5 linked regions of the Ovis aries genome follow. The protein of the gene in region 4 purifies or fractionates together with the protein of the main gene of each other region. This does not show direct contact. Links are inferred from orthologs where the notes say so. Each region holds a gene or a part of one and is shown on either strand. Other genes may lie near its edges. The genes, in order: WAPL, SMC3, SMC1A, PDS5A and sororin.

The links.
Region 1: the proteins of PDS5A (region 4) and WAPL purify together in Homo sapiens (affinity purification with mass spectrometry; 6 studies listed by BioGRID and IntAct, with this or other methods). This does not show direct contact. The link is inferred for Ovis aries from reciprocal best matches to the Homo sapiens genes PDS5A and WAPL.
Region 2: the proteins of PDS5A (region 4) and SMC3 purify together in Homo sapiens (affinity purification with western blotting; 8 studies listed by BioGRID and IntAct, with this or other methods). This does not show direct contact. The link is inferred for Ovis aries from reciprocal best matches to the Homo sapiens genes PDS5A and SMC3.
Region 3: the proteins of PDS5A (region 4) and SMC1A purify together in Homo sapiens (co-immunoprecipitation; 8 studies listed by BioGRID and IntAct, with this or other methods). This does not show direct contact. The link is inferred for Ovis aries from reciprocal best matches to the Homo sapiens genes PDS5A and SMC1A.
Region 5: the proteins of PDS5A (region 4) and sororin purify together in Homo sapiens (affinity purification with mass spectrometry; 4 studies listed by BioGRID and IntAct, with this or other methods). This does not show direct contact. The link is inferred for Ovis aries from reciprocal best matches to the Homo sapiens genes PDS5A and CDCA5.

The regions. Positions count from the first base shown.
Region 1 is NC_056078.1:40,191,291-40,197,013, forward strand, and holds part of WAPL (wings apart-like protein homolog), read right to left. Parts: intron 4,633-5,723; coding exon 4,425-4,632; intron 3,358-4,424; coding exon 3,269-3,357; intron 1-3,268. UniProt on the Homo sapiens protein: Regulator of sister chromatid cohesion in mitosis which negatively regulates cohesin association with chromatin. Involved in both sister chromatid cohesion during interphase and sister-chromatid resolution during early stages of mitosis.
Region 2 is NC_056075.1:30,647,369-30,653,632, reverse strand, and holds the start of SMC3 (structural maintenance of chromosomes protein 3), read right to left. Parts: upstream 3,498-6,264; 5' UTR 3,374-3,497; coding exon 3,359-3,373; intron 2,361-3,358; coding exon 2,285-2,360; intron 1-2,284. UniProt on the Homo sapiens protein: Central component of cohesin, a complex required for chromosome cohesion during the cell cycle. The cohesin complex may form a large proteinaceous ring within which sister chromatids can be trapped.
Region 3 is NC_056080.1:51,280,098-51,285,820, forward strand, and holds part of SMC1A (structural maintenance of chromosomes protein 1A), read right to left. Parts: intron 5,705-5,723; coding exon 5,446-5,704; intron 5,364-5,445; coding exon 5,223-5,363; intron 3,301-5,222; coding exon 3,218-3,300; intron 3,064-3,217; coding exon 2,856-3,063; intron 1,692-2,855; coding exon 1,506-1,691; intron 1,413-1,505; coding exon 1,233-1,412; intron 1,134-1,232; coding exon 987-1,133; intron 888-986; coding exon 750-887; intron 1-749. UniProt on the Homo sapiens protein: Involved in chromosome cohesion during cell cycle and in DNA repair. Central component of cohesin complex. The cohesin complex is required for the cohesion of sister chromatids after DNA replication.
Region 4 is NC_056059.1:59,633,242-59,638,964, forward strand, and holds part of PDS5A (sister chromatid cohesion protein PDS5 homolog A), read right to left. Parts: intron 3,098-5,723; coding exon 2,965-3,097; intron 2,404-2,964; coding exon 2,284-2,403; intron 2,108-2,283; coding exon of another isoform or gene 2,037-2,107; intron 1-2,036. UniProt on the Homo sapiens protein: Probable regulator of sister chromatid cohesion in mitosis which may stabilize cohesin complex association with chromatin. May couple sister chromatid cohesion during mitosis to DNA replication.
Region 5 is NC_056074.1:39,729,993-39,735,030, forward strand, and holds the end of sororin, read right to left. Parts: intron 2,715-5,038; coding exon 2,533-2,714; intron 2,414-2,532; coding exon 2,335-2,413; coding exon of another isoform or gene 2,300-2,334; exon of another isoform or gene 2,097-2,299; 3' UTR 1,998-2,096; downstream 1-1,997. UniProt on the Homo sapiens protein: Regulator of sister chromatid cohesion in mitosis stabilizing cohesin complex association with chromatin. May antagonize the action of WAPL which stimulates cohesin dissociation from chromatin.

The sequences.
Region 1 (5,723 bases), on a different chromosome or scaffold from region 4:
AAAGAAAGGAAAAAGATAAAGCTGCCAAAGACTACAAAGAAACATTTATGTGCATATTTACTTTTGTAAATGCACAGAAAAATGCCTGAAATAACAAAATGTACTGTAGGGGGTGGGGCAGAACGAGCAGGGATAAGAATAGCAAGGAAATGCAGACTGAGAAAGTATCCATAAAGCTGATAAGGAATGTAAAGAAAAAGATCAAGGAAAATTCTTCATGTAGGCTAGGAATTAACTGTATCTTTCCAAAGGAAATCTAGTATCATCTATAGAAAAAAAATGTACGCAATGTCAGGACAGAAGATTAGGATGTTTCCCTCCGTTATTAGCAAGAAGCAGCCAAACTGTATATAAACCAGTTTATGGTAAGAAAAACACATGGCCTGCTTAAAATGTTGTTTTATTTCAATACGTATTTAAAATGCTTTAAAGATTCATAAAGAATAAAAGGAAAAGCTCTTCTAAGGAGGCTCACCTATAATAAAAAGCACATACAAAAAGAAAAAAAAGACGGGAAGAGGGATGCTTTTGATTTCGTATTTGTTGATGAAGACATGGAAGAGTACATATTATCCTCTTAGGAAATTTGCAACCAATCCCCTCTCTCCCACTTTTACAGCTACTCAGTAAAAGCTTGCAGCTCCAATCCTGAGGGATTTTGCCATCTTTCAATGCTGTATTTTGAACACACACTGAGGCTATATTGAGTGGCACATCGTGAGGGCAACAGCTAGCTGCAGAGGTAATGCAAAGCTGGGTTTAAATGCACCCTAACCAACTGCACAGAGAGGGGCAGGGTAGCACGGTGGTGGGAAGACTGGATGCTGGCTATGAAGATGGCTCAACAAAAAAGGGTGCCTCTCTCATTCAGAGTAAAGAATTAGATCCTAGGTTTCAAGTGAAAGCTTCTCAACAACCCAAATCAAATCCTTTTCTATCAACAAATTACGAGTACAACACAGTAAGTAGCCAAGGCATGGGAAGGAGAGTCAGAGCATTTACTTTAAAAGTGTGCAATAAATGGTAGTGTACAGGAGGTAAGAAAAGGTGTGAAGCGGCATGGCCTACTTCAGAAATTTAGAAACGCAACCAAGGGGTGTGACAGACTCTAATACTAGATCAACTATGCTTCAGTAAAATAAAATACTGGAGAAGCAGTTAAGTTTGGAGTCTTATAGCAGTAAACAAAGCTATCATTTCCTAAATGACAGTGAGTCAAGAAAGACTGGCGGGTTGGAGGGTTAACATGATCAGATGTGCTCTTAAGGAAGTTAGCTATGGTGGTGGTATGCAGGATTTCAGGAAAGGAGAGTTGAGAAAAGCAAGAACAGAAAGGCCACAGAGAAGACTGACCATTAAAACACACCAGATGCCTACCGGGCAATGGAAAGTGACACCAGGGTCTCCTGGGCTTCCTAGGCATGCTGTGCTTTACCTTAGAACAGCCCTTACTGCACATAACCACCTGATTCTCGTCTTTCCTCCACTTAAACACTGGGCAAACCAATGTCTTTTACATTTTGTGGCATCAGCTAGCTTTTCAGGGTTAATCATAATGACCCCTAAGGTAAGAAAGACATCCTGGGCTCTATAAATTCACAGTATTGTCTACAACCTAACCTCTCGAGACATGAGAGACAAATAATTCACATCTGAAAAAAACTCAATTTTCAGATTACTTAAGAACACAACTGAAACCAGGGTGTATGCAAAATATGTAAAAATCTTTAAATAGCATACCCACTCTTTTTTGGGGGGTGGGGGTGGGGTGTGCTTTCCTCCTCCTTTTTGCTTGGTATGTGCTTCCCATTTGCCCTTAAAATCTCTGAATTTTAAGGAAATAAGGACAAGGGCTGAGCTTGAAGACAGTCCAGGAAAGGAAATAAAGATTTGTGGGGCCTCTAGCACCATGGTAAGAACTCTGGTCTTGATCCTGAAAGCAGTTGTGCCAGCAAGGGCCAGCAACGAAGTGGGCCAGTATGCACTCAGCTCAGAGCCTTTCTACAATATGGAATAAATGAACAAGAAAGATCCAGAAAAACACACTGGACTTAAGACAAATAAGGTACACAGGAAGAACAAAAATGACAATGGATAAAACTTGATGGCAAAAATGAGGAAATGTGGGTGGGCAGACAGAAGCCCTTCATATCATGATTACGTTCTTTTCTTCTAGCCCTCTAGTCTTAAGAAAAGAGAAACTAGCCATCCCACTATACAACAGGTCTCCATTCTTTCTTGCATCCTGAATGCCCTTGCTTGTAGGGGGAAAAAACCCACCTCTCTTTTATTTTAAAATTTCTCTCTTCTACTGGGCCTCTCTGTTAAAAAAATAAATTTAAAAAAATCCCACGTGTCCTCCATTTTAAAGCAGACTGTTCAAACAGTGAGAAATGTCCACTTCTGTGCTGATTCAGCCCAACTGTGTACACATTCACATCCTTTTCGTAAAGTGAAAGTGAAGTCGCTCAGTCGTGTCCAACTCTTTGTGACCCTATGGACTGTAGCCCACCAGGCTCCTCTGTCCATGGGTTTCTCTAGGCAAGGATACTGGAATGGGTTGCCATTTCTTTCTCCAGGGGATCTTCCCAACCCAGGGATCGAACCCAGGTCTCCTGCATTGCAGGCAGACAGTATACCCTCTGAGCCACCAGGGAGAGCCATGATTTTTCATAGTTAACTCATGATCTAAATCTCACATAGTAATCCCATTTTCCTGGCCAATGAGTCATCAAACAAAAGCATGTGAGCCAATCTTGGCCAAGGTAAAGGAAGTCGACTTTCTGCATTGGGTGTGGAAAAGTCCTAGGGAAAAGAAATCATTGCTCTTTAAACAAAGAGAAACAAACAGGCCACATTCTTCTGCTGGGCACTATTTAACTAGGTGAGACACAGAGTCAGCATAGGTGCATGAAGAAAGCTAGCAAAAGACAACACGCAGAGGAGAGCAGAGTTTAAAGGTAGAAATTATGAGTCCTTGGTATCACTGAGGCGAACCTTTTCCACCTTAAGCCAGCTGAGCACAGGTCTCATATGGTGCTTTTACTTCAACCAAAGACATATAAGTTGATTCCTCTATCAATCTGGAACTTTCTCATCGAAACCAATATACTCTTACTTTGAAATGTACCTTCTAAAGTTCACCAAATATTTGAAAGTTTTTAACAGGAGGGAAAAATAAAGTAACAAGTTAATTAAGTAACGATGTGAAGTGGCTGCAGTGAAATTCTTATAGGATAACATAAAACAACACAGAACTCTTACTTACTGGACTCTCCTGGCAGAGACACCCAAGAAGCAGTGCGGTGTATGAGGCCACAATGCAATCCTCCATGTGTTTGCCAGCATGTTGAAGGGCTGAAAGTATTAAAACAGAAAACTAATAGTGCATGTGCATATATATATAAACCAAAAACTACAACAACAAAAGCACCTAGGAAACCAGCAACTGTGTCATCTTTACTTCAAAACTGCTAAACGTTGATAATGGTGCTGCTGCTGCTGCTGCTGCTAAGTCACTTCAGTCATGTCCGACTCTGTGCGACCCCATAGACGGGAGCCCACTAGGCTCCCCCATCCCTGGGATTCTCTAGGCAAGAACACTGGAGTGAGTTTCCATTTCCTTCTCCAATGCATGAAAGTGAAAAGTGAAAGTGAAGTCGCTCAGTCGTGTCCGACTCTTTGCAACCCCATGGACTACAGCCTACCAGGCTCCTCCGCCCATGGGATTTTCCAAGAAAGAATACTGGAGTTGGGTGCCATCGCTTTCTCTGGATAATGGTGCTAGGAAGATGTAATATCCACACAAATTAACCAAAAAAAAAAACAAAAACAAAAACAAAACCCACAAATGGTAGAGGGAGCTTAATATAAAAGCTAAAACCATAAAACCCTTAGAAGAAAACAGAGGACTAAATATTTGTGCCCTTGGGTTAGGAAATGGTTTCTTAGACACACCACCAGGACCACAAAAGACAATATAAAAAATAGGTAAGTTAGACTTTATCAAATCTAAAGCTTCACCTTCAAGAAGACAACTCATAGAATTTATCTGCAAACCAGGTACTTGATAAGAATCGAGGCTCTAAAAATTCTACTCAATAACAACAAAAGATAACCCAATTTAAAATATGGGCAAAATATCAAAACTGTAAACACCCTTAGGAGTCATGTTACTTGGTTGCTTCTCTTCACAGACAGTAAAGAGAGGCCCAGGGAGGAAACACAGACCTTCCAACAGTACATACACGCCACTCTCACCGCTAGGTGAAGACTGCTACCAAACAGCAAAGCCTGTGTGCACTCAACCAGAGAGGCCATAAAACAGCAAGATTATGACCACACATGAAGTAAAAAAATGTTTTACAGGGGAAAAAACACACACACACATCTTTTAAAAAATAAAGCAGTCAAAGAAAACATACCTTTATTGAGGTCGAGTTCTTCATCATCCTCCTCCTTCTTGTTTTTCTCTTCTGCACCATCAGTCTTCTCGGTTGATACCCACTGTATTTCTCCACTTGTTTCTTGCCACTCTCCACTCTTATCATGCTGAGTGGTGGGCGCATCTTTGATCAATTCATCTGTTTTACTTTCTGCCAACTGTGCTGCTCGTTCTCGCTCAAGGAACAGCTGATAAACATTTTTGAAGGTCATTAAAAAGGGATCACCTACCAACATCAATGTACCCAAATATAAGGCTCCATTTGCTTTTAAACATCATTAACCCTAAGAAGCATACTGTCTGGTAAAAAGGCTACACATCAGTAAAAGCCCTAGCTCTACATCCAACTGAAGACAAAACAAAACTATAAATGCTGCTGGGATTCAATTAAGTAAATTATCTACTGATGATGCATGCATTCTATTTTTAAGAATGAAAATCTCAACACTTTCCTTTAATTTGGATAATAACGGGCAGGAAGTTCAAGCAAAAATTACAAATTAAAAGTTAAAATTAAAACAGTTAAAAATTCTTTAAATCCAAGCAGCCTGGATAAATTAACTGGAAGGAAGAGAGGACACTGGATAAAGTTTCACAATATTTGGGGAAAACAAATGGCTTCTTTAAAAGAAATTTAAAGAAATAAAAAACAAAGAAAGTAGAAAACAAGTTCTCAGAGAAAGGCAGAACTAAATCTCAACTGCTATATTAACAATAAAAGTATAGTGCTTGCTTCAGCAACACATATAACAGAGAATATTAGCATGGTCCCTGTGCAAAGATGACACTGATATACAGACTTGTTGCCTACAGGGAGGGGGATGGGAGAGGGAAGGACTAGGAGTTTGGGGTTAACAGGTGCAAACTATTACATACAGAATGGATGGATACAAGGTCCTACTCCACAGCACAGGGAACTAAATTCACTGTGATGGGATAAGCCATAAGGGAAAAGAATATGAAGAAGAATGCATATGTATAGCTGAGTCACTTTGCTGTGCAGCAGAAATTAACACTGCAGATCAACAACATTTCAATTAAAAAAATCCAAGTACAATTGTCAATGGAAGTATATACCAAAAAAGTCTAAAAAGGAAACATACTAAAAACTCTTGCCTTCACTTACTTATTTCCCTGTGCTGGCACAAAGTTGAATATACAGAAAGCATTTCATATATTTGCTGATGTGATCTGGAGAAACCCTAAATTACTGATGACAGCTATCAGAAAACTAAATGCCAAGTAGATCTCAAAAACTTGCTGAAATATACAGAAGAAT
Region 2 (6,264 bases), on a different chromosome or scaffold from region 4:
AATCACCTCAGATATGCAGATGATATACCACCCTTATGGCAGAAAGCGAAGAAGAACTGAAGAGCCTCTTGCTGAAGGTGAAAGAGGAGAGTGAAAAAGCTGGCTTAATACTCAACATTCAAAAAACGACGACCATGGCATCCGGTCCCATCTTTTCATGGCAAATAGATGGGGAAACAATGGAAACAGTGAGACTTTATTTTTCAGGGCTCCAAAATCACTGCAGATGGTGACTGCAGCCATGAAATTAAAAGACGCTTTCTTCTTGGAAGAAAAGCTATGACTAACCTAGACAGCATATTAAAAGCAGACATTACTTTGCCTACAAAGGTCTGCCTAGTCAAAGCTATGGTTTTTCCAGTAGTCGTGTATGGATGTGAGAGTTGGACCATAAAGAAGGCTGAGCACCAAGAATTGATGCTTTTGAACTGTGGTGATGGAGAAGACTCTTGGGAGTCCCTTGTACTGCAAGGAGATCAAACCAGTCAATCCTAAAGAAAATCAATTCTGAATACTTACTGTAAGGACTGATGTTGAAGCTGAAGCTCCAATACTTTGGCCACCTGATGAGAACGGCCAACTTATTAGAAAAGACCCTGATGCCGGGAAAGATTGAAGGCAGGAGGAGAAGGGGGTGACAGAAATGAGATGGTTGGATCGCATCACCAACTCGATGGACAGGAGTCGGAGCAAATTCCAGGAGATGGTAAAGGACAGGGAAGGCTGGCATGCTGCACTCCATGGGGTCACAAAGAGTCAGACACAATTTAGCGACTGAATAACCACCAAAAGGCTTGAATGCACTGAACTTCCCCTTCACCAAAATCTTAAGAGACTGACCTTCCCCCACTGTCTCTTTGGAGCAGTCTCACAGAGTTATCTGAGGTGCTTATCTCCTGGGCTGCAGTCCTCATTTTGCCCCAAATAAAACTTAATTCCCAACTCATGCATTTTTTTTAGTCAACAGTATGAATCTTACCTCAAGCTATGGACTCCATGGTACATACTCTCCCTGACCCCTAATTCATATGTTAAAGCCCTAACCCTACTATGTGAAGCTTTTTGGAGATAAGGGGTCTTTGGGAGGTAATTTACATGAGGTTAGGAGTGAGGCCTTTATGGTAGGACTGCTCTTTCAAGAGGGAGAGGTTCAAACAAAGGTTCTCCAGAGCAGTGAAAAAATAAATCCCTGTTGTTTAAGCCATCTAGTCTATGACATTTTGTTGTGGCAGACCAAGCCAACTAGGACACTGTAGGGCTGAAATCTATGTTGATAGCGATTCTATACTTTTCTGGTGTCTGCTGCTGCTGCTGCTAAGTCGCTTCAGGCATGTCCGACTCTGTGAGACCCCATAGACGGCAGCCCACCAGGCTCCCCTGTCCCTGGGATTCTCCAGGCAAGAATACTGGAATGGGTTGCCATTTCCTTCTCCAATGCATGAAAGTGAAAAGTCAAAGTGAAGTCACTCAGTCGTGTCGGAATCTTAGCGACCCCATGGGATTTTCCAGGCAAGAGTACTGGAGTGGGGTGCCATTGCCTTCTCCTTTCTGGTGTCTAGAAGCACTCATTTAATCTGTTCTTTAAAAACTCAGCAGATGGTCAGAAAACACCTGCTGTCTGTATCACTATCATCTGTAGAACCTATATATTAATTATTATATTGAAGGACAATCACCATTAGCCCCCTTATCCTCACATTATTGCTTTCTCATTTAATGTTCCCAACAGCCCTAAGAAACATGTATCATTATTTCCACTTTCCAAGTGAGAAAACTGAAGCATCAGGAAGTCTGAAGAATACATAGCAGAACTGGGATTTGAATCCCATTCTGCCATGATCCAAAGTTTATGCTTTTCCTATCAAGCTGCATGGTCTGTCCTTGGACATTATAATGGGGAAAAAAAAATGTCTTAGAACAACCTAATTTGTGAATAAAGAATGGTCATCTTTGAAATAAGGCAATAGTGACCACTTTTAAAGTAGGAAATGACATACCAAGAATAGCTGAAATGCTAAATTTAGTGCCATTCACTATAAACTTAAATCTATTAAAACACATACACACAAGGCTACCAAATAAAAATGAATACTCTGTCTTATCCAAGTATTTTTAAACGTAAAAAGGAAGCAATTTCATCAGTGCAGATAAAAGTATTCACACAGAAAAAAAAATACAAATTTATGTAATATTAAGACAATTCCTGTCTCCTTAAGCCTAATGTAGGCAAATTTAAACGACTATGTAGACAGAAAACTGACAAGAGTGAACCATGAACACTTACCAATAACATTATGTTTTGAACTGAACGGGTCTACAATTGTTTGATCTCTATAACTTCGAAAACCCTGGATAATAACCTAACAAACAGAAGAGAGATTTTTTTCAGAAAGAAATAACATGCCCCAAAAGAAATAACCTCTAAGCTAGTATTTTCCTTTTGCCCTCCTTCCCTTTCTGGTTTCCCATTTAATGCCAAATAGAAAAATTCCCATGTCAGAGAAGAAAAATTTATCTTGGAAAATGATTTAAAAATCTTCTTAAAACTGCCCGTATATCAGTAACCACTACCAGTGTTGCTTAAGAGAAGTTATAATTAGTAACCTGTTAGGGAGCGCTCAAAATCAAATACACTGGGTAAGGCTGGCTGGAACACTAACCATCAGAGGGCCGGATAAAAGTCTTATCAAGTATGCAGGGGGGCTCAGCGGTCCTGGGCGCCCCTTTCAGTCACACTCTGACCAAAAAAGAGCCGCCCATCCAGGACAGGACTGCTCCGAGTCCAACACATCCAGCCGAGAAACTTCTCTTAACGAGTGTGAATGGGCTCATTTTCGGGGTGGCCTCCAGCGCGGGAAGACCATTTTGACAGAAAGTAAACAACGGAATGAGGAGGCGCTACACATTCTGCAGGAAGGAGGGACCCTTTCACGTCTCCGGTAACTCGGGGAGGAGCGAGGCCCCTGGCTAAGCTGACACCCAGCTTGGACCCCACAGGCGTCCCGAGGCCGGGGACACCCTCTCTTCACACACGCCACGCAAAAGGCTCGCGAGGGGGCTGCCTAGCCCCACAGGACCAAGCTGCTTCTCGTCCACCCGGGAGGGCCCGGTTCCCTCCAAAAGGCCCACGTCGCCAGCCCCTCCAGCTCTCTCCGCTAGAGCCCGCCTCCCTCAGACAAGCGCCCTGCGGAGAGGCTCGGGCTGCAAAGGGGCGGCTCGGGCTGCAAAGGGGCGCCCCGAGCTGCGCCCCTCCCCCACAGTCCCTGTCCAGCCCCGCGCCACCCTGCAAGAAGCAACACCCCCGACAGGAGCTGTCCTCACGAGCCCCTGAGGGGCGGGAGGGACGCACAGGCCTCACCTGCTTTATGTACATGGTTCCGTGCCCCTGGCCGGCGAGAAGGGCTCCCGGCGAGCAGCAACAACTCGGCAGCGGGGTTAGGTGAGGCGCCTAAACGACCCCACCCCCCAAGGCGCCGCTTGCACCCCTCGAGCCAAACAAAATGGCGGCGCCCATGGAGGCGGAGTCCCCGCCTCGGACGGAACCACCCTCGCAGCTTCCCTCGGAACGTGGGGGGAATCAGAGTCAGATCTGCTCTGTATTTTTAGCAAAAGAGCCTTCTGCGATGTCGCTAGCTGAATTTCATGTGACTCCTCAATTTTTCAATGAATTTTCCCTGAGAAGTAGTCGGAAACTTCATTCGGAAAAGCCTTGGTCGTGAGATTGACCTGTATACCCTCCGAGCGGGCAGCCAATGGTTGCGGCCACAAGGTGGCGAAAGGTTCGGCGCCAAAGCTGAGAGAGGGTGTCCAAGCGCCAGTAGCCGTGCGAGTTGACGGCCCCGTGGTCTCGCGCTGTTTGGAAATACCGAGCTGGGGCGGGCGGCGCGGCTGCCCGAACCTGTAGTGTACACGACCTGGGGGGAAACTCGGGGGGCAGAACCCCTGGTCCTCTATTATTCTCTCTCTTGTGTAACTTAGAATGGCCCCCGCTGACTCTGGACTCCCCACTCTCAGGACAGCCCCAAAGGGACTTGACGCTAGAAAATTAATTTTAATAATGTCATAGTTATTAATATCCCAGAGCTGTTACTGCTCTGCCAATTGGTATAAATCTAGGCAGATTGGACAACTGGAACGCAAAGATTTATTTAAGATTAAAACCCCTCCCCCCCTTTTTTTCCTAACAGCCTAAAAGCTTGGAGGTGCTAGTGGCAACCCTGGGCGTATCTGATCTGCACCAATCGCAGGAGAAAAACTCGGATCTCTGGGCCGCTGTAAAATTACCTGCCACTCAGCACTCAAGTTGGTCGGTCCTCGCCACCCGTCCCGCTACGGCGGACAGTTCTAGCGCTGATTATTTCTACATTGAGCTATTTCAAATGACTAACTTCGTCCCTGTCAACGCCTCTTGGTGCTGGAAGAAGACTTTATGTATGTACCTTTTTAATAGATGAAGAGGACAGGGACACTTCAGGGAAAACAAATGACTTATTAGAGGAGGCAAGGGAAAGAAAAAGAGCACTTCAGGGAAAACATACCACTTTTAGGAAAGTCAAACCGGCCCTTAGGAGAAGAGATGGAAGTCGCTGGTTTTTGCGACTTTGAGTATTACTTCCGTGATGAGACCAAACAAACTGAAAAGTTTTAGTTTGGAGCAGAGAAAGATTCATTGCGAGGAGAATGGGGCAGCTTATGTTCAAAAAGCACAAACTACCCAATGGTTTTCTGGGAAGAGTTTTGATAAGCAAATTTTGGAGGAAGGGCTGCAGAGGTGTGTGACCTGGTATAGTAACGGTGATATTCCAGGACTCTCAATTAGCCCTCTTGTTCCAGCCAGTCGGGGGTCCACATGCTTGCGCTCAGCCTTCATTTACCGTTCTTGATCTGCCTGGGGGACTTAGTGCCTGTAGAAGAACTCAAGAGATGTGTACCAGATTGTAGTGTGTGTACCTTGAAAAAGAACCAGGACCCCTCCCCATCACTGCTCTATTGTTTCTTGCCTCCTTTTAATTTCTTTCTACATTCCTTCACTCCCCTAGTTAGTAACTTTGAGTATCCCCTTTGGAATCCAGGGAAAATCTAGGAGGCTGAAGCCTTTTTCTTACAAACAAGAAATGGGAGACACAGGTTTTTGGTATGAGGCAGGGCCCCCAGGGTCCTGCCTGGATTCAGTAACACTCAAAAATCTAACTGCTCCCTTTCTCCGATGGGTCAGTTACTCTGATAACTTTCAGGGTCAGATTGGAGGAATAAATATACTGAATATATTTGCAGGAGGAATACACCTTGCTCAGGACCCAGCCTTCTGTTCGGTTTATGGGCTGTGGTGTGGGATCTGGCTAAAGTCTATAAACTGGGTGAAAGGTTGTGATTTTTCTGCTGTGGTGACTGACATCAGCCTCCACTCACCTAAACCTAATCTAATATAGTATGTAAATGAACCTCTACCACAACTGGCTGCCTATTTCACTCCTAGGAACAAGGTGGTCTTAGCTGTAACCATAGACTCCTTAAATGTAAGGGCTAAAAATAGAAAATCGTAGATGATAATGTAGGAGTAAATCTTTGTGACTATAAATCAGGCAATGGTTTCTTAAACATGACACTAAAAGCACAAGCGATGAAAGAAACATAATTTATACTCTATGAAAACTTTTGTGCAGGGACTTCCCTGGTGGTCCAGTGATTAAGAATCTGTCTGCCAATGCAAGGGACACCAGTTCCATTTCTGGTCTGGGAAGATCCCATGTGCCCTGGAGCAATTAAGCCCGTATGCCACAACTACTGAGCCTGTACTTTAGAGCCTGCAAGCCATAGCTACTGAACCCTGCACACTCTAGGGCCTGTGCTTCTCAACAAAAGAAGCCACCACAATGAGAAGCCCTCATAGTGCAAGAAAGAGTAGCAACTTCCCCCCGCCACCCACACCACCACCCTCTGCAGCTGGAGAGAAAAGCATGAAAGCTGTGCACAGCAACAAAGACTCAGCACAGCTGGAAAACCAAAACAAAACAAAACTTTTGTGCATCTAAACAAATAAAACAAGAAGAAAATACTTGTGAATTTTATTGATATATTTGAAAAGGGACTTGTTTCTGAAATATATAAGAACTCTTACAATAACAATAAGAAGACAACTTGATTTAAAAATGGGTAAAAGATTTGAATACACGTTTTCCCAAGTGGTCAGTAAACTTATGAAAAGATGCTCACCATCATTAGCCACAGTCAGCTACCACTTCATACGCACTAGGATAGCTAGAA
Region 3 (5,723 bases), on a different chromosome or scaffold from region 4:
GGGCACACAATAAACATTGTTATTTACAGGTCGACACTTTCCTCATCTGTAACCCCTGGGGCCAGGTGTGTCTTGGAATTTAGACTTTTTGATTTTAGAAAAATGACATACATATTACATAACACCTCCAGAGTGGTCTGGGGAAGCACCCATAATCAAACACATTAATATAGCTAGAAAAGTACCTCCACTCACAGGGACTGAAATATCTGTAGCTCACTTTCAAAACTCAGAAGCAACTCAAATATTTGCTGAATGAATTAATTAGGTTAATAGCACCTAACATTTACTGAACATTCACTTGGTACAAGCAATCAGTCTAAATACTTCACATGTATTAACTCATTCAATCTGTGCAAGGACCCTATCCTTCTACAGATTATTTACAGATTAAGATGAAAAAATGGACACTGAGAGGTTTACAAAAACAAGAATGTTCTTTGAGTATCTGCAATACATGCATTTGAAAAAGACATTTCTGGAATATATTTTTCAAAAAACTCTTACAAACCAATATAAAAATGATCAAAGGATTTGAACATTGAGAGGTTTAGTAACTTGCCTAATATAGAGCCAAGTCCTAAACCCCTGACTGTCTAACTCAATGCCATCTATTCCTGGTTTCCAGGAACAGACTGGGAGGAAAGAGGGAAGAGGGACAACTTCCCCACCCCTAGAACTGAGCGTAGAGCAGGAATATGAGGATGGCCATTGGCCATGGCCCAACAGGGCTGAAAGCCAGGTCCCACCTGCAGATTAAGGGCCAGATGCCGTGTCTTGGTCTGTTCTAGGTCACTCTGTGAGTACTTGAGCCGCATCTGCAGTCCGTGGGCCTGAGACTGCACCTGACGTAGTTCTGCCTCTTTTCGCTTTGCCTTCATCTGCTCCTGAAGTGGACAAGAGGGAAAGGCTAGGTGGTAAGAAGGTGGCCGGCTGGCCTGGGCTTAGGACTCCCATTCCTAGGGACAGCCCTGCCTGTGGCTTACCTTCAGCTCTTCTGTCAACCGCTCCTTTTTCTCTTTCAACTTGTCTACTGCTTTCTCATCCCAGCGTCGGGCCTTGGCCTTCAGGTCACTGGCCCCGCCAGAGATCACCCCTGACTTCTGGAACAGGGTCCCATCCAGTGCCACTGTCTAAATACAGCAGGGAAAAGAGAGGAGGGGAGAGAAGCTGAACAAAGGAATCGCCAATACTAAGCCTATCCAGCTACAATGTGGCAAGGGAATCCATACCTTGTGGCGCTGGTGGCCTCCAAAGGCAATGCGGCGGGCATCCTCCACATTGTCACAGACAAGGGCATTGCCACAAGCATACTGCAGGGCCTTTTTGATGTGAGGTGGCTCATAGCGAATCACATCAATCACCAGCTTTGCCCCCTTCAGCTCCCGGAGTTTCTCATCTGTAGGTTTTACCTATGAGAAAAAGCTTAGTTAAGTGGCTGAACATGGAGGGCTAGGAGGAGCAGCCCTCTCACACTGCCCTGACCCCATCACCACCAGCCTCACCTCCAGGTAATCAAGAGGCAAGAAGGTTTCAGGCTCCCCACGCTGCTCCTTGATATACTGAATGCAGTCCCGGCCTGTCTTCTCTGAGTCCACAATTATAGCATCCATGTTCTTGCCCAAAACCTTGGTTACTGCAATCTGATACTTCTTTTGTGTGGGCTGGCAGAGGTCAATGAGGCGGCCGTACTAAGGAAAGTCAGAAGAGTGAATGAAGCATGAAGTTTTTGAGAGCTGGCTCAGGAACCCTAACTCCTAGCTTAGAAGGGGGATAGCAGGTCAGAATCTCTATCAGGAGCACAGCTCCCAAACTATGGGGAAAAGGCCTACTCTGGACTTCCCTGGTGGCTCAGATGGTAAAGCGTCTGTCTACAAAGAGGGAGACCCGGGTTTGATCCCTGGGTTGGGAAGATCCCCTGGAGAAGGAAATGGCAATTCACTCCAGGACTATTGCCTGGAAAATCCCATGGACAGAGGAGCCTGGTAGGCTACAGTCCATGGGGTCGCAAAGAGTCGGACATGACTGAGCGACTTCACTTCACTGGCCCCAAAGCAACAACAACTTCAGGCAGTCATGTCTGAATCCAGAATCATCTTTCTAAACCTCACTTTTACCATTTCATAGACCACTGGCACCACAGGCATTATGCAACTTAATTTGGTTCCACAAATAAAGAGCACAATAAATGCAACGCGCTTGAATCATCCCACATTACATTTATTGTGCATTTTATTTCTATTATTATTACATCAGCTCCACCTCAGATCATCAGGCATTAGATCCTGGAGGTTGGGGACCCCTGATCTACGGAAATGATCAAGAAATATTTGTAGAACCCAATTAAGTTGAACCCAGGGATGGAATTACAGCAATAGAGGGATAATATTCAGGGAATCTGGAAACTCAGGATTTCATTCAAGAGGCCAAAAGAACCTAGTAAATGAGCTGACTGTTATATGCTTAAGGAGCTCACACTGAAGCCTGCACAAAGCTACTGATACATCCTGGGAACTAATTCCTGCCCTGCAGCCCCTTCCCTTTCCCAAAGGCCTCTTCACTTTCTCCACCTCCCATAAAGGAGTGGACACAAGCAAGACAAAACTTTCAGAAAGATACAACTGGTGCAATGAAAAGAACACAAGGTTAAGAGTAAGAACAAGTTGGATTTGAATTGCAGTTCTTATACATATAAGCTATGCTGTTTTGAGCAAGTCATTCAACCTCTCTGACCCTGTTTTCCCCAGGTGTAAAAATGGAATTAGCAATCTGTCCTCATGGGGCTGCTGGGAAAATTATCTGACAGTGAGTATGAAAGACAGTGGTCAGGAAATGAATTCCCTTTCGACTCTTACCACAGAACCAGGGTACAGGCGCTTGATGCTTTCCATAATTTCTGCCTTTCGCTGTTGGCGGCTGCTCTCTTGGCGGTCGATGCGGGCATCCCCCAGCTGCTCCATTACCTGGTTCAGCTCCTTATTAATCTCATCAATACGCCGCTTGGCCATCTCCACCTCCTCTGTCAGCTCCCCCTCTAGTTTCTTCTGCTCCTCTAGAGACTGCCTACAAAGTGAGGAAATACTGGGGTTACCCTGGCTGGCCAGAAAATATTCCTGGCCGAGAGGGATGATGAGGGTCCTTCCTGGGGAGGGGCAGGACAGGTAGGGTTCACAAGAACAGGCCTGGAGATAAGAGGGAATGTTACAAAGCCACATACTTGCTGGTTGTGATGTATTCCTCTAGTTTCTCAATCCGTTTCTGATTCTCTTCAATCTCCCGCAGCTTTTGCTTGATCTTGGCCTGGGAGAGAGACAAAAACACTACATCACCATAGGCTGAGCAAGTTAAGGCCAAGACCATAGAGTCCTGGCTCATCCCCCATATGCCTAATCATTCTAACAGCCTAACAATCACAGACAATCTGTCACTAGTATAAGAGGCCTATTAAAAATCGGATATAAACAGTGTTCAGTGTGCCTCTGCTAACTGATGGGGCCACCATGGGCCCTATGAGACCCTCTCATAGGTGTTCTACCCAGCCTGGAACATCTTCCTCACCAAGCAGGCAGGCTCAAACCAAGACAAAGTAAAGCTTTCTGGGCCTTTCTGCACTTCTGCTTTATCATCTATAAAATGCAGGTAACTTCCACTTCATAGAATACACATTAAGTGCTTAACATGTATTAGCCACTAATTCTGTGTGTGTGTGCACTCAATTGCTCAGTCATGTCCTACTCTTTGCGGCCCCATGGACTCTAGTGTACCAGGCTCCTGTTCATGGAATTTGCCAGGCAAGAATACTGGAATGCGTTGCCATTTCCTACTCCAGAGGATCTTTCCGACCCAGGGATTGAACGCTTATCTCCTGAATTGGCAGGTGGATTCTTTACTACTAGCATACCTGGGAAGCCCCTAGCTATTAATTAATGCCTAATACCTTCTTTTAAACATTTAAAACTGCTTAGCACAACGCCCGGAGAAGGCAATGGCAACCCACTCCAGCACTCTTGCCTGGAAAATCCCATGGACGGAGGAGCCTGGTGGGCTGCAGTCCATGGGGTCGCTAAGAGTTGGACACGACTGAATGACTTCACTTTCACTTTTCACTTTCATGCATTGGAGAAGGAAATGGCAACCCACTTCAGTATTCTTGCCTGGAGAATCCCAGGGACGGTGGAGCCTTGTGGGCTGCTGTCTATGGGGCCGCACACAGTCGGACATGACTGAAGTGACTTAGCAGCAGCAGCAGCAGCAGCACCACAATGCCTGGAACATTGTAGGCTCTTGGAATATTATAACAACTTTCCATCATTCCTATTATTTTACTATGATTGTTATTAGGAAGGTGGTAAGTGAAATATACTTGAAAGTGTGGGCTTCCGGGACTTCCCTGGTGGTCCAGTGGCTAGGACTCTATCCTTCTACTGCAGGGGGTGCAGATTCAACCCCTGGTCAGAGAACTAAGATTCCACATGCCACAAGGTGCAGCCAAAAAAAAACCAAAAAAGTGTGGGCTACACTGCCCAGGTTCATATCCCAGTTCTGCCAGTTAATAACCTTAGGCAGGGACCTCCCTGGTAGTCCCATGGTTAAGAATTCACCTGCCAATGCAGGGGACAGAGGTTTGATCCCTGGTCCAGAAGATCCCACATGCTGCAGAGCAAGTAAGCCTATGTTCCACAACTACTGAGCCAGCTTTCTGGAGCCCAAGAGCCACAGTTATTGAAGCCCGTGGGCCCGAGAGCCTGTGCGCCACAAAAAGAGAAGCCACTGCAATGAGAAGTCTGAGCACTGCAACTAGAGAAAGCCTGCAAGCAGCAACTAAAAACCAGGACAGCCAAAAACAAAACAGACAAATAAATAAATATTTTAAAAGATGACTGCATATATGTAAAAACAGTGCCTAGCACACAGTAAGAGCTTGCCTTTTGTTGTTTAGTCGCTATGTCCAACTCTTTTGAGATCCCATGGACTGTAGCCCGCCAGGCTCCTCTGTCCATGGAATTTCCCAGGCAAGAATACTAGAATGGGTTGCCATTTCCTTCTCCAGGAGAATGTTCCCAGGGACCAAACCTGTGTCTCCTGCATTGGCAGGCAGATTCTTTACCACTGAGCCACCAGAGAAGCCCCATGCTAGATGTTAACTATGGTCATTACTGTTAAGACTACTGTTACTTCCTTTTCTCTGGACCATCACCCCTAATCTTGTAAGGCATGCCCACCTCTGTCTCTACTTTCTTCCGTTCTTCCAGATCCAGCCGGTCCTGGTCAGCCTTCTGGTCTCGATTAAACTTCTCCAGCTCCTGGGCCAGGGTAGCTGCTCTCTTGCTGGCTTCTTCTTTCAACCGGTGATATTTCTTCACCTGTGTCAGGGACAGGGGCAACCAAATCAGTCCTGTCAGCCTCGCAATCTATTTGCCCATCCCCGCACCCCTCAGAGCTTACCTGATTCTCCTCCAAGGTCAAATCTCTGCCCTGACTCTGACTTTCCTCTTCCATCCGTTCCTCAAACTCCTGCCGAGCTTTCTCCACTGACAGCATCTCCTTTTCCAGCTCATCCATGTCACCTTTACGCTTCTTATAATGCTTCTGAGCATTCTGTAGCGACTTTTTGGCTGCTTCCAGCTTCTTGATTTTGTGGGAAGTATTTTCCTTGGCCTTGATGTACTGAGGCCGCTTCTGGTTCAGCTCTGAGTCCTTCTCCCTTTCACCAGAGGGGAGGG
Region 4 (5,723 bases):
ATTCTTTACCACTGAGCCAGCAGGGAACCCTCAAGAATATTATCCTTACTGAAACAAAAAAAATCTTTTACTTTAATTAAAAATATTTTGTTTCTTAGAACCATACGTAGACTGTGCAAATCATAAAGGTAAATACAACATCAAAATCTAATAAAGTCAATCATAATGTTCTTGGGCAGCAGCAATATTAACTAGTTAATAAATGAATTTAAGCCAAAAGTGGACACTGATGATACTTTCTTAAAAGTTATATGTATACGAAACTTGAAGAGTTCACAATCTGATCACGTGGTGCCTCTCTCTGCTAATTACCCTGGGAATAGCACGAATAAACCACAAGAAGTTACAGAAGCAAAATGATCTATTAGCATCCGGATGTTCATCATTTCTAAGTAATCACCTTAAAAATTATTTTTTCTTTTACTAAGTCGACCTTCACACTAGTGTCACAGAAAAGAACAAAATGGCTTAAATGTGCCTATGAAGAAATCACACTTTCGATATGCACTCTAGGCAAGCCTGTATCCTTCTTTTCTTCCTCACAAAGGCTTTTATGCAGCCAAAATAAATGTTACATCAAGATATACTATAATATCACTAAGCTCATGATCTTAATACCCTAATTTTCTTGTGTTTGAACTTACACCATATTAAAAGCAGTATATTAGAAAAGGAAATGAAGAAAGATGCTCATTGAAAATGGAAACTCTAAAGTATTATTATGAAGGCTAAAAACATTCTAAGCTTCATATCAAAACAAAATCAATTAGAATAAGATATAGTAACAAACAGCAACTTAAATTCTTGATGACAGGACTACTACTGTATGTAAATTCTATATAGGTACTATTCTAGTCATAATAGCCCTGGGTCAGCAATAAAGTAAATTTAAATTCAAGAGCTCATGTAGGAGTATTTATAAAGACCAGTAAATTCAATTAGAAGGCAAGTAACTTTGCAATCTTTATTATTCCTATTAAAACCAGGCATAAATTCTGAGTACTAGATTAAAGAAAACTGGATACAAATTTTTGTTGAAATTTTTAAATGCCATATTTTTTCCATTAAAAATATTAATTTTTTTTAAAAAAACAAACAACAGCAAAGTTAAAACTTCAAAATATCACCTTAAAGTGGATAATAAATACAATGCAATCTGTTAAAAAAAAAAGTCTTAAAATCCAAATTAGCTGGAAAAATTTAAAGAGCTATTAGTTCACTGAAAAATTTACTTACATGGAAAACTTCATTTGTTGCTAGCAGAATAAATGTACTATGTACTATTAATAATATAATTATTATTGTTCAGTCGCTAAGTAAGGTCCTACTCTTTTGCAGCCCCATGGACTGCCTGCTAGGCTCCTCTGTGCATGAGATTTCCCAGGCAAGAATATTGAACTGGGTTGCTATTTCCTTCTCCAGGAGGGCTTCCCAATGCAGGGATAGAACCCACGTCTCCTGCATTGGCAGGTGGATTCGTTACCACTGAGCCACCTGGGAAGCCCCATTATTAACGATACCACTTACTAACGCTTCATTTTGACTAACGTCTATAGACCTAGGCATATTAATAATAGATAACAGGTATTATCATCACTTGCATTTTAGAGATGAAGAAAATGAAGCTTAGAAGAGTTAACTTGAGTGTGTGTTCAGTGGTTTAGCTGTGTCTGACTCTCTGTGACCCCACAGACTGTAGCCAGGCTCCTCTGTCCATGGGATTTTCCCAGCAAGAATACTGGAGTGGGTTGCCATTTCCTCCTGCAGGGGATCTTCCTGACCCAGGCATCAAACCCGTATCTCCTGCATCGCAGGCAGATCCTTTACCACTGAGCCACTGGTGAAGCCTGTTAACTTCAAATCCAGGTCTGTCAATTGCCAAGACCAATTCCATTCATACTGACACTTTATTTCATATATAGATGTATATAATTTATACTCTACCAAACATTTTTATTTCTTGTCTGAAAAAATACTAACAGTGTTTTAATAGGATGAGATGAAAACAATTTAAGAAATTTGAAAATTCCTCTTACATATTAGAAATATCCAGAAGGAATAGCTCACATAGGAACACCACCACCAAGCTTGATTTGTATTCTCTACTCTGTAAGGTGAGAATGATATTTTTCAGGCTTTGGAAGACAGTCTCCCCTTTCTTGATAAACTCACAGAGGTATATATTTTTTACTTTGTAGTCAAGACAGTCTAGTATTTGCCACCAGGATGACAGTAACAAATTTAAGTGAGTTCAGTTTGGTAGAAAAATGAGAAGAAAGTTACCTTTTCAGGTTGTGTAAAAAATTTCACTGGCAGGACTGGATCCTTTGGTGACTCTGCATTGCACAAAGCACTTTTACTATTTATCACGCACAGGGCCACATCACACACTGTATAAAGTTTCTAGGGAGGAAACAAATCACGTAACTTTCAGGAGTGCAAAACAAGCACAGGTACCAATTCTACCCAGTATGTAACATGGAATCGACACAGTAATATGGGGCTATTGTTTACTCCTTGAACACTCTGCATGTTGTCTCTGGCACTTCTTCTGATGTAGACTCCTAGTAACAAGGACAAAAAAGTCCCCTTCGTTTTACTTTAACATGAATGCCAAGTATGCATTAAAAACAACAAACCAAACCAAAGGAAACATACAAGAAGACTATCTACGGGTCTGTAACACTTACTTACTAGTTCTTAAGACAGCATAGTTATAAATTTCACTAGTTCTTATCCCCATGCTCTGTACATATTTTAATATCTTTTTCAGAGTAATAAACATTCTTCAAAAATAGACTTCAATGTAATGAAAGAAAAAGTACATATATTTATAAACTATAAGTATATATTTTAATAAGCATTCTCTAATCTATTATACAATAGGAAAAACAAGTGGGACAAGGGTCACATTACTTTTTCCCTGTAATTTCTTAATAGTCACTGGCCTAATATATATCTTACTTCATTTGTCTTGGATTCATCTGGAGACTGGGCATCTTTTGTTAGCTTGATATTCTCTGCCATCTTTTTCATAAAGGCATGGCTATTATTTTCATTTTTTGTCATTAAAACTTCAAGCATGAACCAGAGGCACCTAAATGAAACATATTCACTTAGTAAAGAGACTAATTGCAGGTTCTTTCGCTGAGTGGATTAAATAATTTACTGGGAAGTTCTGTTGTTCGAGTATACAAAGAGTAAAACGCTAATGATTAATAAAATATTCAATTAAAATAGGATATAACATCACAAATAACAAACATGAACATATAGCTTAATATGAGAAAGCCTCACAGTTTCATGAGGCATACACGTGAAGAGTCATTCTATAGGTATTTAATAAACATTTAGATAATATACTGTGTATTAATATCTAGCAATCATGAGCAAACCAGCATACAGCATAGTCTTGCCATTTTGACCATTTGTAAGCTATTTATCCTGTGATCTAGGGCTCGTATGTAATTCTACTGTGACATAACTCTGAATTTCATGTGTTATGAGACTGGTGTGCATATAACCAGTAACTCAGCGAAACAGTCACATTTCAAGTCATTTTTCTGTTTTCCGCTTGTTATAGTTATTTAATTCATAAAGTGTCTGGTGACACCTGAATTTCTAAGTAAAAGTGAATCCCAAATTGGGATGAAGATTAGAATCATCTGAGGAACTTACATTGCCAAATCTAGAATCAAAATCTGTTATTAAGTTCCCATGATGATTTTTTAGGCAACCACCATGGACTTACTGTTTTACTCCATCGAGAGGAGAAAAAAATCACTTGAAGATAATCTGTGTGTACTTCTTTGCCTATAGTGTATATATATATATATATATATATATATATATATATATATATATATATATATGTTTTAAGAGACTACTGTAAAGGAAAATTTAGCACTAAGTTAATGGAGTTTGCTTTTAGTAGACCTGTCTTGCAATAAATATTAAACTCAGTCCTTCAGGCAGAAATGAAAGAACACTAAACAGTCACTTGAAACCATAAGAAATAAAAAAAACCCACTGGTAAAGGTAACATAGCTAAAACATAAGGCCAGCATTACTGAGCTTCTGATTTGTAACTCCTTTTTAAATATATGATTTAAAAAGCAAATGCAGGGAATTCCCTGGTGGCTCAATGGTAAAGAATCTGCCTGTCAATGAAGGAGACGAGGGTTTGATTTCTGATCCAGGAAGATCCTATATGCTGCAGAGCAACTAAGTCCTTGTGTCCCAGTTGTTGAGCCTGTGTGCCAGAGCCCAGGAACCACAACTATTGAGCCCATGTGCTGCGACTACTGAAGCCCATGGCCTCAGAGCCTGTGCTCCGCAAAGAGAAGGCACCACCGTAAGAAACCTGAGCACTGCAATCAGAGAGCAGACCCCACTCTCTACAACTAGAGAAAAGCCTGCCAGCAACAAAGACCCAGCACAGCCAAAAATAAAGAAATAAACCACATGCATGAAAATAATCACATATATGTGAAAGGAAACAACATATAAAAATATAATTTGTATCAATTACAATATAAAGGCAATGAAATAGAGATGTATAAGAGCAGAGAAGGATGTGGCAACCCACTCCAGTACTCTTGCCCAGAAAATCCGATGGATGGAGGAGCCTGGTATGCTATATAGTCCATGGGGTTGCAAAGACTTGGACACAATGGAGCAATTTCACATTTCACAAGAGCAGAGTATCTCTACACTAGTGAAACTAAGTTGCTATTATTGAAAATAGGTTGTTACAATTTTAAGCTGTTAAGAGTAATTATTAAGAAAATAACTAAAAAATATATCCAAAAGAATAAAAAAAGTTTCCTACAAAAAACAACTACAGCTGACCCTTGAATAACACAGGAGTTAAGGGTGCTGACCCTTCACACAGTAATTTGCATTTAACTTAGTCTTGGCCCACTGTATAATTGGTTCCTCTGTATATGAAGTTTGTCTGTATCTGTGGGTCCACCAGCTGTGGATCTTGAAGCACTATAGTATTTATTATTGAAAAAAATCTGCATGTAAGTGAACCTGCACAGTTCAAACCTATTCATACTGTAAAGTTCAACTGTAAATACAAAAATGAGAGGCAGTAATGGAGCAATTAAATAACAAAAAATATATAAGACACAGAAAAAACTAATAGTTATGTGGCAGAAGTAACTTCTTCCTTATCTCCCAATTAAAAAGCAGAGAAGCAGAGTAGATTAAGGGAGAAAAAAGATCCATATATATCTTGTCTACAAGAGACTCATTTCAGATACAAAAACACAAAGTAATTGAAAGTTAAAGGATGGGGAGAAAATACATTTCATACAAACAGTAACCAGAAGAGAGCTGGTAGCTATTTTATAATTAGACAAACTGGATTGCAAAAGACCGAGAAGGACTATTGAAGAGGATATGACTATTATAAACACAAACCTTACAACAGAGCCCCAAAACCTATGAAGCAAAAGTTGACAGAAGGGAGAAACACATATTCCACAATAAGATTTCAATACCTTATTTTAAATAATGGATTGAAAAAACAGAGAGGAGATCAAAGAGAAAATGGAGAACTTGAATAGCACTATAAACCACTCAGATGTATGAGACATAGATGGAATACTCCAACTAACAGCAGCAGAACACACAGTTTCCTCAGGTGAACTTGGAATATTCTCTAGGACAGACCGTAAGTCTTAATAGGCCTCGACAGCAAGCTGCAAGTCTTA
Region 5 (5,038 bases), on a different chromosome or scaffold from region 4:
GAGACCCTGGTTGGAGGTGGGAGTGGGAATTCAAATTCCAGCAGCATTTCCAGGCCTGAAGTATGGGGCCCCTTTGGGGAGCTCTCACTCCCCGCTCCCCGATGACTTGACTGACAAAAGAGGAGACTCATCCAAGGCCACAGGGTAGAAAGTGGCTCTTCCTGCCCCTCCCTAATCTGCCCTTTGGAGTTAGACCTGGGGCTTCCAGCCTCCCAAGGAGAGGGTGTGGCCCCTTCCAGTCCCACCCCAGTGCTTATCACAGGATTGCTGATCTTGAGGATGATAACAGCCAGATCTGGAGCCTCCTCTGGGGTGGGGGCAGCTCAGGGCCCAGGGAGGTGGAGGATGTTGGAGGAGGGCCTACTTGGAGCTGGTGGCCTCCTCTCCACCCGGTTCCCAGGGCCCACACACAGGCAGGGGGAGCCATGGCTCAGATTCGGTAAAGTTTACTGCAGGGAGCTGAGAGGAACAGCCAGGGGGCTCCCCAAGGAGATGTGCTGTCTCCAGCCTTGGCTCAGCTAGGGCCTAGGGCTGACATGTGTTTCTGCTGTTGAGGGCAGGGTCAGGCTGCAGGATGACCAGTCCTGCCATCTGGGAGCTGGGTTGCTGCAGACAGTGGGGAACCGGTTGAGTGGCGCTGGGCAAACTGGTCCTCTCACCCCACCCAGAGCTGGGTGTTCCTGGTACCTGGAACAGCGCCCCCTCCTAGACGGCCTGGGCTCCTTCCTGGATGGTCTTACTCTCCTCCTGGAAGGCCTCTCCTTCCTCCTGGACGGCCTTCTCTCCCTCCAGGATGGCCCTTGCTTCCTCTTTCAGGCTTTTATACAAGGAGTCAGGCTGGAACAAAGGGTTGCAGGGGCCAGAGGTGGGTAGATGGCGCCAGGCAGGACGGCCTGCCAGGGGCCTGCCCAAGAGCAGGGCTAGGAGGCGGGGAGAAGGCACCACAAAGGAGGTGGGTCCTGGGTTGAGGTCTCACCAGGTCTCGCAGCTTCTCCCCCAGAGCCAGATTGTCGGCTTGGATAGTGCTGAGCGACTCCCGAAGCCTAGGGTTGAAAGGGAGACCTGCACCCTCAGCCCCCAGACTTGTCTTAGGCAACCCCCAACCCCACGGCACACAGCTCTTGCATGAGCTCCTGATCTGGCATAGCCACAAGCCCAGGGTTTCACCAGGAGCCCAGTCTGGTTCTGGCAAAGCCACAGGCAGGGAGGGAATTCGTCTCCCCTTGTGACTGGCAGCAGGGGACCTAGAGGGAGATGAATCCTGCTTCTCTTCTTTAGCAAGGGGAGATCCGACTGCTGCCTTGCACGTACTGGCCCGGGAACCCTCTAAAGGAGCCTTGGGCTAGCCGCCCACCCCTCTGGTCTGCAGTGGGGGCTGTGGCAGGGTTCTGCATGGTCTCTGTGTGGAATTAGCCTGGCCCAAGCTCCTTGGCCAGATGTAGACGAATATGTGTCAACCACTCAGATCCATGGCTGTGGGAATCTCCTGCAGCCTTGGGGAATGACTGTCACACTCCTCCCACCCCAAGACCTCTGTCTCCATGGAGTTTGGACCCTGGCATTGCCACTGGTAGACAAGTGGTCATGGGACTGTGCAGACCTAAGCTCCAGAGCCTGACATCCAGAGAACTGACCACCCCCATCCCCTTTCTCCACAGACCAAAATACCCCTCAAGTTTTGGACAGTTAAAGATGGTGGCCCCTTGCAGGCAATGTCATAGACTGCCTGCTAATCGGGCACATGGGCACATTGATGGGAAAGGGCTGTGGCCCCCACTCCTCTGGGAAAGGACATACAAGGCCACTGATGCTTGAGAGGGAAGGGACCTACTGGCTAGTAAGGAGGTCACCCAGAGCAGAACAGAGAGCAGGGAAGGGAAGGAGGGAAGGAAGAGGGCCCAGTCAAGGTGCCAACTTACATCAAGCCACAGGCCCTGCACTCTATTCTGGGAAACCCTGTCACCCTCCCCGTCCCCACCTGCCCCTGTCCGGCTCACCTCAGGCACACATTTTGCAAATGGCTCATTTCCTTTGAGGTCCGCTGCGGGCCCCAGTCTTCCTTATCCAGGAACTGGGACTCCTGGATGTCCAAGTCCCTGGGTGGGTGCACAGGGAGGATTGGACCCGAGGCTGGAGGCTGGAGGGTGGGGTGAGCAGAGGGGAAACCCAGCCCAAGGCCCAGGCTTCTTCAGTCCTGTCTAGGCCACCCCCACACACAAGCCCCAGGGCTGAGTCCTGGCCCAGATCTGAATGTTGATGGCGGAGAAGCACCCTCCGGCCCCTCCCCTCTCACATGGCCTTACTCTGCAGGGTCGCTGGCGGGCTCGGTTGCGGTCAGGAGGGTAAACAGGAAAGTGGCACTGGCTTCCTGCTCCTGGCCCAGCTGCTGCTCTGAAGAATCTGAAAAAGACGGCTTTGGCAGAGAGGGTGCCCTGGTGACTGAAGCGGCATGAGGCTGGCTGGCCGCCCGAGAACTGGGGTCCTCCCACACCCGACAGTAAGAGGATGGGCGCAGTGGCTAGGGGTTCAGACCTTCCTCCAGGGAGGAGAAGAATTTCTCCAGCCCCCGCCCCGCCCACAGCCTCAGGAGGTCCTGTCACCTCTGAGTCTGGCTCCCCAGAGATCTGAGTGTCTTCTGGCTTCTGCTCCCCAGCAGGTGGCGGCGCTGGCTTCTCCTCGGGCTCCGAGTGGGCTGTTTGTCCATCCCAGGGACACTGAGGGAGATGGTAACTCAGTTGGTGAGCCACCCCCACCATCCCGCTGGTCTCCCCTTCCCAGCCTCCCCTGCTTTTCTTGGGGCGATCTCCAGCCTTGAGAACCACCACCACCAGCTCTGACCTCAAAGTTAGGGTTGCCAGATTTAGTATGTAAAATATAGGACACCCAGTGAAATTTGACTTCAGAATAAATGGTCATTTTTTTCAAGCGTATCTCAAACATTTCACAAGCCACACTCATACTTTAAAAAGGGTTTGTTTTTCTTTTGAAATTCAAATTTCACTGGTGTGTCTTGTATTTTATCTGGCAACCCTACCAAAGCTATACGGTAATGGTATCTTGTCAACTGAATTCTTGCAAATACAAGGCGTCCCTGGTAACTTTGCTTTGGAAACTAGGCCTAAAGAAACATCTCCAAAAGAAAGAAAAATAATTCACACAGAGGTCCACAGTAGCCGACTGACAGCCAGAAGAAAAATTGAAACCTGCCTGAAGGGCCCAAATACAAGGAAAGGGAAGTAAGCAATGACTTATGATTGTGATAGAACACAATCCACTCTGAAGTTCATGGTCTTTGGTAAACACTGGTCCACCAAACTCTGTCCTTGAGCCAAGTGTTATGCTGGATACTGAGACCACACAGATAGATGATTGTGACCAAGTTTTGCCCAGAAGCCCCCAGAGATGGGGGGCGGGGGTGGCCTAGGCTCTCAGACCCACTGGGCACGGACATGTGCCATCCAGAAGCCTGTAAAGAAAGCCTTGACTGAGAGGGCCACTTGGCTTAGGAGCTCCAGAAAGACTCCACCAGCGGTTGCTGCTTGGTCTACGAGTGGGGTGTCTTGGCCAGAGAAGGAAGGGCAATCCAAAAGAGGAAGTGGCTTGGGCAGGATGGTGCCAACGGACATGACACATTCAGGCGTGGGGTGCTCCCACTGAGAGCCGGGGTGAGCAGGCCCGGGCTGTGGCCCCCAGGGGATAAGGAAGAGTTGAAGTAGGAGATAGATGGGCCCCTGGGCCAGAGACCTGCTGTTTGTCAGGTGGAATAAAACTGAAGCTTTGCCCTCAGCCAGGTGAGATGCCCCGTTTCCTTCCTCCATTGATATGGAGGGAATGAAGTAATGCTGGGGAATTTGTTGCAGCAAAAATAGAAATGAGACTTTTCTGATAACTTAGAAAAATAAGGAAACAATGAACAGGCTGGGGAAACAGCACAAACTGAAATAGTTAAGCAATCTTGGGTATTCTTTAGGGTTACTGCTAACAAACAACTTGTAGTTGGACTTGTCCTTCACAAAGCTAAACAAAGGAAATTACTCTCTGACTTCACAAGAATTCCACTCTGCACCCGGCTCTCTTCTCCCCCTACACTCTTTCGTAGCATGCTTCATTTCAGAAAGAAGGTCACGGGCCGATAACCAGAGACCAACCCCAGTTACCATCTGCCTGATGCCAGCTGTGGCTGTTTTGAGGTTTTTTTTTTTAATCTATTTTTCTTTTAAAATTTTACATATTTATTTTGCCTGTGCTGGGTCTTCATTGCTGCACGCAGTCCTTCTCTAGTTGTGGCCGCCAGGGGCTAGTGTTTGCTGCAGTACTTGGGGCTTCTCATTGTGGTGGCTTTTCTCGTTGCAGAGCAGAGGCTCTAGGAGCACAGGTTTAGCTGCTCCGCGGCATGTGGGATCTGCTCTGCTTCCCGGACCAGGGATCAAACTTGAGTCCCCTGCATTGGCGGGTGGGACCATCTGGGAAGTCCCTGTTTTGAAATCTTGCAAAAGGGAAAAAAAAAAAACAAAAACTGCAAGATTTTCATTAGGATGTAAAACCTCTGTCTTTCCTGGGGGCACAGTTCTTGAGGTGCTGGCCTGCCGTTTGCGTTTTGCCTGGCAAAGAATAAAGCTATTCTTCCTTTTTTCCTCCAGATTCTGTCTCCGTATTTCTAGTCAGCATCAGTGAACCGGGAGCCAAGATTTTAGCGTCAGCGTGGGAGATCTTTGGGTGTTTGTGTTGTCTGAGCCGTGGCTGAGCAGATGGATGGGAGGAGAGCCTGGGGGCAGAAGCCCAGGGCCTTGAGGGTGAAGGAGAGAGACATTCACGATTGCCGCCTGTGACAAGTGTCTACTCTGAGTTGTACCTTGGAAGGTGAGCACGAGGCGCTGTCAGGCCACAAACGCAGGCCTCACATGGTCTGCATATGCTATGCACCAATGCACCACACAGGGTTGCCAAATAGAATACAGGATGCCTGGTTAAATCTGAGTGCCAGATAAACAGTGAGGTTTGTTTCAGTATGGTGATGTTCCAAATATTGCAAGGGACA